2 linked regions of the Drosophila melanogaster genome follow. The gene in region 1 interacts genetically with each later gene. Each region holds a gene or a part of one and is shown on either strand. Other genes may lie near its edges.

Evidence for each region.
Region 2: of wap (region 1) and mnb, changing one suppresses a phenotype caused by changing the other (phenotypic suppression), as found in Drosophila melanogaster (one study listed by BioGRID).

The regions. Positions count from the first base shown.
Region 1 is NC_004354.4:22,450,819-22,457,520, forward strand, and holds wap (wings apart), read right to left. Parts: upstream 4,605-6,702; 5' UTR 4,456-4,604; exon of another isoform or gene 4,242-4,455; 5' UTR 3,844-4,241; intron 3,769-3,843; 5' UTR 3,767-3,768; coding exon 3,576-3,766; intron 3,373-3,575; coding exon 2,913-3,372; intron 2,855-2,912; coding exon 2,673-2,854; intron 2,611-2,672; coding exon 2,412-2,610; 3' UTR 627-2,411; downstream 1-626. Other genes in the region: tilB (touch insensitive larva B), read left to right, coding at 1-45, 218-430, 492-609.
Region 2 is NC_004354.4:17,871,909-17,876,954, forward strand, and holds the start of mnb (minibrain), read right to left. Parts: upstream 3,133-5,046; 5' UTR 2,972-3,132; coding exon 2,497-2,971; intron 1,493-2,496; coding exon 1,347-1,492; intron 846-1,346; coding exon 711-845; intron 1-710. UniProt on the Drosophila melanogaster protein: Role in the specific control of proper proliferation of optic lobe neuronal progeny.

The sequences.
Region 1 (6,702 bases):
TCGGGATGAGGCCGACCATTACTTGCTCCAACTGGAGGTGTACAGGTAAGCTAGGCTAAGATGTCTTAACCAAACTTATACATATCTTACAAGTTATCACCAACATATTACATATGTATATCGATATTGGTATTGCTTGATCGTTTCTACGCCCCAATCATATACATACACTTCAAAATTCTTAATTAATATTGCATATGTATATTCCTTCGCCCAGACACCTGGATACCTCTCTAATTGACGTCGATGTGCAGACCACATACACTAGAGTCACCGTCAAAAAAAAGATCTTCCAGATCGCGTACAGCGAGGAGGTCAAGCCGGATGAGTCCACTGTGCAGCGTTCCCAGATTACAGGTCACCTTGTGGTCAATCTTAAGAAGCTAAAAGTTAACGAGCTGCTGATAGCCAAGAAAAGCCCGACTAAAAGGTAAGTTCATCCAGTTCATTGTATATCATGAACCACAAATCCTAGCTACCTTTTCATGTAGCCCTGCCGCCCCTTTTGATGCAGGAAAAAAAGATGGGAAACCGGAGGAAGCGTTTCACGGAGGAGTAGTGGACATCAGCAACATTTGTGCACCCGAAGATCTTCCCGATTTAATTTGAGACTGTGTTCATTATTTAAAAATGGTTTATTTAAATATTTGTCTGATTTGGTTTGTTTTCTCAAACTCCTCAGTGATCTTTTGTTTTGTTTGGTTTTTGTGATCCATCCATTCCATCGATCAATCATTAGCTTTCTAGTAAATACTTTAGCCCGATCGGATGCTCATATATATATGCGCTTGAGTGTGTGTGTGTGTGTGTGTGTGTGTTTGTGTACATATACATTTCATATATAAATGTAACGTAAGTCGGATAATGCAAAACAGGGCACACGAAAATAAAGATTAAATTAAAAATTATATTCTAACTTGGTTTTTTTTCGATTATTTTTTTTACGGAAACCGTGGTTTGCCAAATTAATGAAAATGTCTTCGCCTAGTGGCTACGAGCGTATAAAATATATCCAATTCCAAATTCCATAGACTTGATTTCAGTTTCTTACTCTTCTGCAGCAAACGAAAAAGTATTCGGATATGAGGATATAAATTCCCGTGAAGTGGCCTCTTAAATGGCTATACAAAATCAGGGCCTAAGTTGGTTTTCGTTTAAAATATGCCTTTCATGCTGTATTTACAATACACGATCATCGGGATTATTATTACTGCTATCGCTTTCTGTATACATATTTATATATAAGTTGTGAAATTGCTATAAATTACAAGATACATAAAAAAAATGTATTCGATTTTATCTGAAAAAGTCGCTTTGTCCTGTGGAAAGTATGGGATGTGGTTAAGATTTGAGATTATTGATGGAGGGTCGTGTCTTATCTGAAATGATCATAGTTTGTTTGCTTATTTTCGCTCGTTTGTTAAATGGATATAGCAACAATCTTGTATTCTCTCTCGCTCATATATTTCGGTATTTGTTTTATCTTTTAGTTTGTATCTTTAAATAGTATTGTATTCTAGCTGTGTTGTGTGCAGTTCGTCATCAGTTTCCTGGTTTGGTTTTTAATCTTTAATCTATGTAAGTATTTCGCTTATTTCTTTAATTCATTTCATATTATGTTTGTTTTGCAATTGCTTAAGTCCATGGTTTTGCTTTTGTTTTTCTTTATCTCTTGTTTTTGTCGTTTTTCCGTTTTTTGGATCTGTTACAAAAATCGAACAAAGTAAAAATATTTCGAAAAAGCGTTGTTGCCGGCTACTTTTTTACCTCTCATTTTTTGTTCTCTGTGTATTTTTGTGGTTGTTGCTGTTTTGACCAGACTCGAAAACTCGATTAACAGCATTCATGTTTGAAAAAACGAGGTAGGACATTGTGTTATAATAAATATGATTTCTTTTTCTTCTGCATTCCATTTGGGTTCGTATAAAAACGAAATAAAAAAGATTAAGCGGCTCTAATTGATTGGAGTTTTCGGGGGTGTGAGTGTCGGGATTTGTCAAGTGTGAAATAAACTACAATTATAAAACATATTTTGGTTATACCTTATATAATTACATACTTGTTAGATCAACTCAGCTAAGAATTCTAGAATAAGTGCTTCGTCCTCTTCTCTTTCCCTCAAACTCATATCTTTCTTTTAAGCCCTTTCTCTTTCCATTTCTCTGCCTCTATATCCGTCACTTTCACATTTTCTCTCTCTCGACAGACAGTAAAATTAAACAAACTGCGGACGCGTGTTGACAGAACTAATCCAACTTAAGCTCACTGCTTTCCGCTTCCAAGTTACCAACAGCAAATGTATGTTTATTTGTGGGTGTTGTGTGTTTTTCTGACTTGCTTCTTTGTTGACTGTGCGTTGTTCAGCAATTGCAGTCAGGTGCTTCAGCAAGGACCAGACCAAAAAAAATTACTTAGACCCGCAGGATCTCGCACGCTTTGTTATAGCAAATGGCTATCCAGTCGGGCTGTGTGGCACCCCACTGAATCTGATTGACTTCGCCCTCGGCAGCTGTATAGGCTAAAATTGGATCCTCGATTGCACGTGGCATTTGTTGTATATCCCAGATCAGTGCTTGGTGATCATCACCGGCAGTGCAGATGTGACAGGAACTGCAAACCAAAATACAAATTGTTTAGGCACATTTTAGGTTTAAGGAATCTTATAGTCTCACCTATGCGGCGCCCACGCAATACCGTTGACGCACGCTCTGTGATTGCTCAGTCTTGCAACGGGTGTACAAGGAACACGAACATCTAAAATTATTACTTCGCACGAGTCCATGGCAACGGTGGCTAAGTAGTTCGGGTCCTGTTTGTTCCAGGCCAAGCGCAGCAGCGCCGTATGAGCAGGATCCTATTGGATTTATCGTTATGTAGTCATCCGTTTTTGTGTTTTCGCGCGTTCTACTTACCTCATATATAATGGTCGAGTGCTCCAAGTGCCGCAGATCAAACATGCGCACCGACCCGTCCGCTCCCACCGAGGCAAACATGTCCCGACCGCCGCCGGCCCGCGAAAAAGCAATGTCGTATACTTCCTTGTCATGGGCAATCAATTGCGTCTTCACGTGTCCTGCCACATAGACGCGAGCGTGCGGCTGTCCGGTCTCCAGTCCCCAGATAGTGCAGGTTGTGTCTATCGATGAGGTTCCCACCAGATTGGGATCCACCTCGTTCCAATCAAACGAAGTGAGGGGAGCGCAAAAGTCGCTGTTCTTGTTGTTATTCAGTACGCACTCGAGCCGCGTGTCCGGTTCCCCGGCACGCCACACCCGCAAGTAGTCGCCACTGGTGGCCAACAGATCCGGATAGACACCCTTGGAGTCCGGGATCCACATGATCTTGGTTGTCGGATATGGATGATCAAAGGTGCTATTTGAAGAAGAAATAATCTGTCAGTGAGGAAGGGGATTTCGGAAAAATGGTTCGTATAACCAAATAACTATTCATATTTAAAATGATTACAATAATATCAAAACTGCTTATCATTTTATATTATTTTTTAAAGATAATATACGAAATATAAAATGAAAACAGAAAGTAGAAGGGATCAGCTAAACAAATATTCGGTATACCTCTTAGCACTAAATTCGCTGGTGTCCTCGTCCAGGCTGATGATCTGTACCTTGTTGTTGTACTCCTCGATGAAGCTGCCCAGTGCGAGCCGGAATCGCTTGTCCGGCCTTACACTCCAGTTCATGGAGTACAGTGGCCATGGCGCGAGATATTTGTAGATCTCCTTGCGCTTTCCGGCGGTCGAGGACATAACTGTAGATATGGAAAAGGATCAGCATGAGAATCTAGGACTCGTATTCGAATTCGGAGTCTGGATCAAGAACCCACCTGAACTGTGTGATTGGATACGGATATCCAGACCAAGACGAAGATCAAGACTTGGATGACAAGGTGCTGCTGAGTTTTCTCAATGCCGTTTAGCTGGTGGCCGGCCTAATGACGACGAGCTCCTTTGGTGATGATGACGACAATGATGATGATGGCTGATAATGACCACTCACAGCAGCGGACAACTCAAGAAAACTTCATGGAATGGGAAACAAAGGTCTTTGCTTGCCACTCGCATTTGCACACTTTACCGGCTTGCTTTTCCTTGGCTTTTCCTGTAGCTTTCCTCTTTTCCGAGATTCACATCATTTTGTGCACTGGCAGTATTGCCAGCTCGCCCGTTTTCCGACTAGAGTCCGTCCGTCCGTTTGCCGTCGTTATTCCGGCGAAATTTAGGTCTGGAGGACACCGATCGGAGAAGTCGAACTGTACTCAATCAACAGGGCGAAGGAATTAATTCAACGGCGTGCACATCGCGACCGCAACGCATCCGTTTGGCCAGCAAGTGGAATTGTGCCCGGCACTCCGTATAAGGTGGCAACACTAAAACGTAATGCGACGCGAAAATTCGTTTGTGGCGGTCCTTCGATGGGCAAGCTGCCCCGGTTTTACCTTATAATTTGGTTAAGTTTCCAATCCAACCACAGTTTTCTGAAACAGCACGGTCGGAATTACACGGAATTAGTATTCAAAGAACTTTTAATACATTCTTTTCGACAGAATTTTCACACAAAAACAGTGTGACCGCGCAGATAGCTATAAGAAATACCTTGTGCAAAATCATTGTTATATACCAGATAAACAAAATACTATTTATTTAAAACAAAATTCTGTATTAAATTATATTGAACTGTAATATATAATATTCTAGGCTTGACTTTAGTCTAATTAAGAATTGAAAGTTGTGTGTTTATTTCCACCCAGAAATCTTTTCCCTGGAACTGGAAATATAATTCGATTGGCGTTTTGTGCAAAAACTATTAAGTTTGAAGCATATTTTTCAAATCCCATATGATGGAATTCTGTGTAAATGGAACATTAAGAAGGCCTCTGCTCATCTGTTAGCAAGTACACCAACCATACATGCATCAGGCATAGTTCTTCGATAGTTATCGAAGAACAGTTAACCTATCTTCAAAATCTAGTGACGGTGACTTCGTTTCGGCGTGCGGCCACACTAGCAAAAAAAATAGGATTAAAAAGTGAGTTCTGTGTTGTGCAAAAAAAAATTGCTTTAATTCGACCGGAAAAAGGCCCTTTTGCGGTGCAAAACGATGATGTCGCTTGGCTGGCGTTAAAATTTGTGGGATATCATTAAGAGACGGGACTTTCGGCAGCGCGACCTCGTTCGCCTCGTGATGTTCGTTTTGCGGTCAAATTTTCACCTTCGCCACCCATCCCCTCGCCCATTTGTTTTCTATCTTAGTATGAATTTATACACTTTATATACGCATTTGCCTTTGTACATTTTTTGTGTTCCGTGGATGTATGAAAAATTCCTAATAGCCGTCGTCGTCACTTTTCCACTTTCCATTTTGAGAAAGATATTTCACTTTGCGTAATTCGTACGCTGCCTGGCGCCTGTGTGTGTGTGTGTGACCGTGTAGCCAATAGTGCTACATCGCTCGCGCGCACAATCTCGGCACTGTTTTACTACTACCCTGGCTCGCCCCCTCTCCCTCACACATTTCACTGCCAAACGTACGCGCGTGTGTGAGTGCACCTTTTAAAAATAGAATCTCATTTCGTTTCGTTTTATATATTGTTTTTGCTTTTATCACAATTATTTCGATTTTGACGTGCAAAGAATGTATGAGTTTTGTGTCTAAAGAAAGCGGCTAATCGTGGTAACCGTTGAAAAAGTTCAGCTACACCTGTGGGTACTCGCGTGCGATTGTGTGAGCTTGGATAATTCAATTTTTTTAAGTGAATGTGTGTGAATGGGCTGTAGTGTAGTTGTAGCATTTTATGAACGAAAGATCGATTCGTGAAAGTGTGGCCATCTTATGTTAGTTAAGGCCTACCACCCGCTTCTCCCATCCCCCTGCACTACACCACCCGCAGAGCCTTACACTTGTGCATGTATGTATGTAAAAGCAACGGTTTTCTCGAATGGGAGCGTAGACAGCCTGGCGGCACACACACGAACGTAACTTCATTTTAAGTGTTACCGCATAAGGACAGCCGTCCGCGTCCCACACCGCCCCTACCCAGTTCAGCCAGCCAGCGTCACACTGAAGTTGTTGTTATGGCAAACTTGAAAACGGCTTTTCTCTATTTATTACTATTTTGCGATTGTAAACAAGTGTCGATCGGTTTTCCACTCTCCGCCTAACTGTTCATCAGGGACAAATCGAAGGCCACAAATTCCCGAGATGTGCGTGGGTGTTTTTTGCGCTTGTGAAAAATCAATCGTGGGAAGGGGAAGAAAGACGAGGAGTTCCGCTTGAAGGGTTTCGCATTATCTTATGCAGAATTCAAGATAACCTTGCGCCTGCAAGCCTTCATTTCTCCAATAAGTGAATCAAATGTAAACGGACAAGGTCTTGACAATTTAGAATTGTTTGCACTACTAAAAGTACCGTCATAAAAATGTGGTTTTGATTAAAAGATGTTCCCTCATTAGATCATTTACACTGGGCATTTTCCAATCTTTTGGGTATATTTTTGATAAAGAAGTTAGAATATTATGGTCCGATTAGTATGAGGTTTTGAATTCGAATTAATTTGATAAATAGGGCCTTCTAAAATTCCATTCTTTTCAGTTTCGCCTACAACTTTAGCAGCAACAAGAACGGGTCTTAGATGTAGCACATATGCAGCCATTAAGTTTAAAACTAACCTAATCCTAGGGATATA
Region 2 (5,046 bases), 4.6 Mb from region 1:
ACGTTCTCGTTGAGAAATTTGGGAACTTGGCAGGAGAACCGAGACAGTTGCGTGTAGCATTTATGCTCCTTTTATTTATTTATTTTTTTTCGGCTGTTGTCAACCGAGGCGGCAGACGACGTCAATCGAAGCCAACTGCAAATGGCTGGCTGCGGGGGAACGGTGACGCTGTTGGGGGAATTGACCCCACGAACGGGTCAAGGACAAACGTATCTTTAGCCCAGCTCAACGCCACAAATATCCGCTGTCAGCAGATAGTCAGACAGCCGAAAAAAGAAAGCCACAAGACGAGAAAAGCCCCCGACGAAATTCCGATCGACATATAAGCGTAAATAAAAAAAAAAGAAGAAAGAAATCGGGATGGATGGATGCCAAGGTTCCTTCGTAGTTTTGCAGACTACAAGAACAACATCATCGCAATGGTAATTGATAAGGTAGACAGTTACATAAACTAGATAGAATATACTTTTTGAAATGATATGGAATCTTGCCAAGCTAAAATATCAATAGAATCACTATTTACTAATGCAAATGAAAACAGAAAAGTTATGTGCATTGTAACGACAAGAGAACCTGGTAAACATGATCCAAACTCAATATTGCCACGATAAACATAGGATTTTATGATCAAATATCCAATTATCAATTGGTTCTCATATGTTTTGCTTGTAGATTAACCAGATTAAACGCCAGTTATGGGCCACACTCACCTCGTTGATGTGCTTGTAGGTCTTTATCAGATCGACACTCAGCTTGCGCAAAGGTCCCGAGGCGGGCTCCCGAAAGTGGTTGGGAATCCGGGCCTGCATGGCGCGCACCTCCGACGAAGACGAGGGACTAGAGTGCTGTGGAATGAGATGGAGAACGTATTACTCAAACTGTTCAATAAAGTGATGCCCAGCTAGCTTTGGCTCAGATCGTGCTCAGATCAAATCATTTTTATTTTGAACACAATCTCTTTAATTTCTTAAAACAACATTATTAATGTACTTGCTAAGCTTCGTTATTAACATAAATACGCAGTCTTAATGGCCGCATTGAGAAAGGCAAAACCAGTCCTGAAAAATACCATTCTTTGTTCTTCCGAGGGCGCGGCTTTCTCAAATGCGCCATAAACCTTTCTAATTGCATGTTTTAATTTAAGTAGAGCATGGGAAAAAGTAAGTTCATATTCAACGAAGTAAAGTTATCTTTTACACGGCTCCGTTGAAATATTTGTGGATTTTTTCTAAACAAAAAATGTTCTACAATTTCTAAAAGAAAGAAACACAACTTCTGCATGTCCTTTGTGTGTAAATGCATGTTTTGGATTGAAGATAAGGATAATGCTAGTTGATAATACTCACATGGTGCATGACATCCCGGTGCGTGGCAGGCAGATCCTCTGCGTCGACGAATCGCCCGTAGAGTGGGGCGTGGCGCTGTCTTCCGCCCCCGCTTCCGCTGCCCTGCGCTGCGTCGACGCTGCCGCCGCTGGACCCATAAGCGGACACTAGAGCGTAAGAGAAAGGAAGAGATCAGAGATACTATCAGATATCGGCGGGAATTATACAAATATATATGTGTGTATATATAATTATTGCGATGTATTTGCTTGCCGCCTTCGTTGTGCGCCGTTCTGTGCTGGTTCATTGACCGGATCGCTCGGACACCGCTCCTCTGCAAAATGCACCTGTTTTCTTGCACACCTGACTACGTCAGCGTCAAGAGTTGCCAAAACGATAATAAAAGCAAAGGGTAGGGCGAAAAGTGTGGACACACACCGCAGGAAAAACACTGCCAATTCCCATTTAAGATCTGATATAGAGCCAGCCCAGAGTCATGCATTCTTTTTTTAACTCAAGATGCAAAATTCGTTCTAAAATTAGTTGTTGAATTGGTGGTCATACTAGTGAGTTAAAGATAGTAAGCACATGATGCTGCCATATAAAAAAAAACGAATTGGAACATTTCTCTTCCTTTCCGAAGAATCTACTTTTGCTAGCAATATTTTTTTCCTGTGCATTGGCAGGCCAGCAGAGGTAAGTAAAAAAGAAGCTCTACCTTAATTTTAGAACCAGACGGAACTGAACTGAAATTATTACACAATATGCAGGCGCAGATACATAATTCTGCCGTTTGTAGATTCTATTTCCCCACGTTCCTATGACCATTTCACATGCTCACTCTTTTTGTTTTGTTGCTCTTCGCTCTTCGTTCGCTGATGGCTTGTGCAACAAAAATAGACCCAACGTTATAAACAAGAATGAAAAAATCAAGCAACAGGGTAAAACCTGTAAGTGGCAGCAGCTGTGTTTTCGATGATAATCCGCGACATTTGATATTCCAACACTCCATTTCTAATTTCCAAAAAAACATGTGGCGAGAGCAAAGATACTTTTCCTTTCTATTCGTTGACTAATTGTGCAAACGCAAAAAAAAAAGTTGTCGGTCAGTTAAACTGACATGCAACAAATTTTTCTAGGCCAACTTCTCTGTTTCATCCAATGGGCTTACTAGTATAATAGAGTGCCCGTTCCGCCTTCATTCTCGATGATGATGATGACGATCCCTGAACCATCAGCACATTGCCATCGACCCGATCTCTATCTCTATCTCCATCTTCATCTACATCCCGCTTCACATCCAACAGCACCGTGTCCCAGGCACTTTTGGGCAGGAATTTAGAGATGATCTGATGGCCAGCGTCGTCGTCATCCGCCTGATCCTGATTGCCATTTGTTGGCCAATTTCTGACACGATGCTGGCAGCCAATTTGCGCCAAATAATTGATGTAATGAGGCGGATGATGGTGATTGTGGTGGCCGTTGTGCGGATGGTGGTTCAAGCTGCTGCTGCTGCTGGTGATGATGCTGCTACTGAAGCTGCCACCAGCTGCTGCACCAACCACGAATGGCGCCCAATCCGCGGTGGCCTTGTCAACCGGATCGCCGCCATTCATTGACTGCCAATAAACCAGGGCCGTCGACATATCACTGGCAATCGGAATCGCAATCGGAATCGCGAACGCACTTTGCACTAACCGCTTCCTTTTTTCAATCAAAATGATATGCTTATTTCGTTTATTTTTATATAGTTTATTTAAGTAATTTAAGATCCATTTGGATCTGGCTGTATGAAGCGCGGTCTGTTTCGTGTGAAAATTCAGCGCAAACTGCCTCGGTTTTTGTTCCCCCAGTTCTGTCCCCAAAGTTTGCCACTCGTCGTTGTTGTTGTTGTTGTCGTCTGTTTTATTTATACGGAACCGTGTTTTCTCCCTGCTCTTTTATTTCACTTGGTGTTTTTGCACTTTTTTGCTGCACTTATGCGGAACACACGAACGAAGCCGAGCGCCGATAGCGAGATTGCAGCAACGATCATCACGATCTCGGCGTGGTAATGATCATGAAGCTAAAGTAGGGAATGCCCGGCTATCTGGCATCGGAATTCGCTATATTAACACTACACTAGACTCGTTCAGTGTTGCACAATTGCATTTGAGTAAATGGGAAATAGAAAAATCTCTTGGTGATATCTCTTGGTCAAATCCATACCTTTCGACCTTTGTTTCGGAGTGCACATCTCTGGTGTTGAAGAAGCTCAACTGATTGAAACAGTGTTGGGTAAATACCTTTCAGTATCTCCATATTGATCACAGAGTTACTTGCACTTGCTTGTGATTAACCACAAACGAATAAATCGGTTTTCTTAGGTATTCTCCCCCATTATTGTTGGTGAAAAGCTCACTTCTGGCTGGCCTTTTGTTTTCTATCACAAGTGTTTTTTTTGACAGAGGGAGTTCCGCTTTTCGTTGATAATGGCATTTCAATAATGACATGTAGCGTAGTGACATGTAGCGAATGCATGTGGGGTAAATGGGGGAACGCTGGGTGGTTGTGGGTGGGAAAGTGCTCGCACTTGTCTCGTGCGCGCAAAGATACAAATATACATACATACATACATACATACATATGTAAGTATGCATTTCTTTGTTTCGGCTTTTGCGTCGTCGGCAAGTCAAGGAAATCAAAACAAAGCAAACGAAATGTGAAATTAAAATAAAATGTAATTAACCCCAGGCAAAAAGTGTGTGTACATAATGCAGTGCGTTACAAAACTGTATAACTGGTTGAGCTGCCACTTGGCAGAGTGGGCCATAAAAATAGGAAATCGTTTTCGAAACTAAAATGCCCAGTAATGCCAAACGATTTTGAAATAATTATAAACTTGTGTTCTTTCGAGTTATGTAAATGTCTGTCTACACGCCAAGCTAATTTGTGTTTTCCATTTCGCCAAAGCAATTAAAAAATATTTTGCTTTTATAATAAACAAATTGAACGCTTGCCAATCGATGGAAGAGTTGAATAATTAATGCGTTCGGGGCCCCTCGAAAGATTCGCAGGAGCATAGCCACCAGTCCCTCTATTTATAGGGATCCCATCCGATCCGATCCGATCCGATCCTCCGTTCGCAATGTGGGATCTTTGCCCCAAAGTTCTCATGTTCGTTGTTTGTCTGTCGCGTCTCTCGGCCGAAAATAAAAATAGTTGACGACATTTTGCGTTCGCTCCCCGCCACCTTTTTGGCCACTTGCATTTTGGGCGAGGAATGAGGGGGGGGGGGGGGATAGGGCCACTACCAACAATCACACACCATCGATAATTGCATCCGGAGCAGGTGACTCACATCGTGACGTGACTGCGACTGTAATACTACTATTACCCACCACTTGACAACTTTATGAACAGATGGCGGCGCCAGCTAATCGGATACTAAAGTCTCGACATATTTGGCAAATAATGGGGAAGTCCCGCATAGACTTACGGGTTTTTCAAAACAGTGCGGATTGGAACAAATACAGACGGTGACGGTTGAGTGATAAGCAAACAGTTGGACATATTATTTACTGAATGAATGCAGTGACATTGTTGCATTCCTCGCCTGAGCAGGAAAAGCGGTGGAAATGGTGGGGAAAGGCAGCCCAAATTAGCTGTTCGAAATCTGGCCATTATTTAAAATAGCACCTGATCCTGATACTAATTATTATTATCGGTGATATGCCCCATT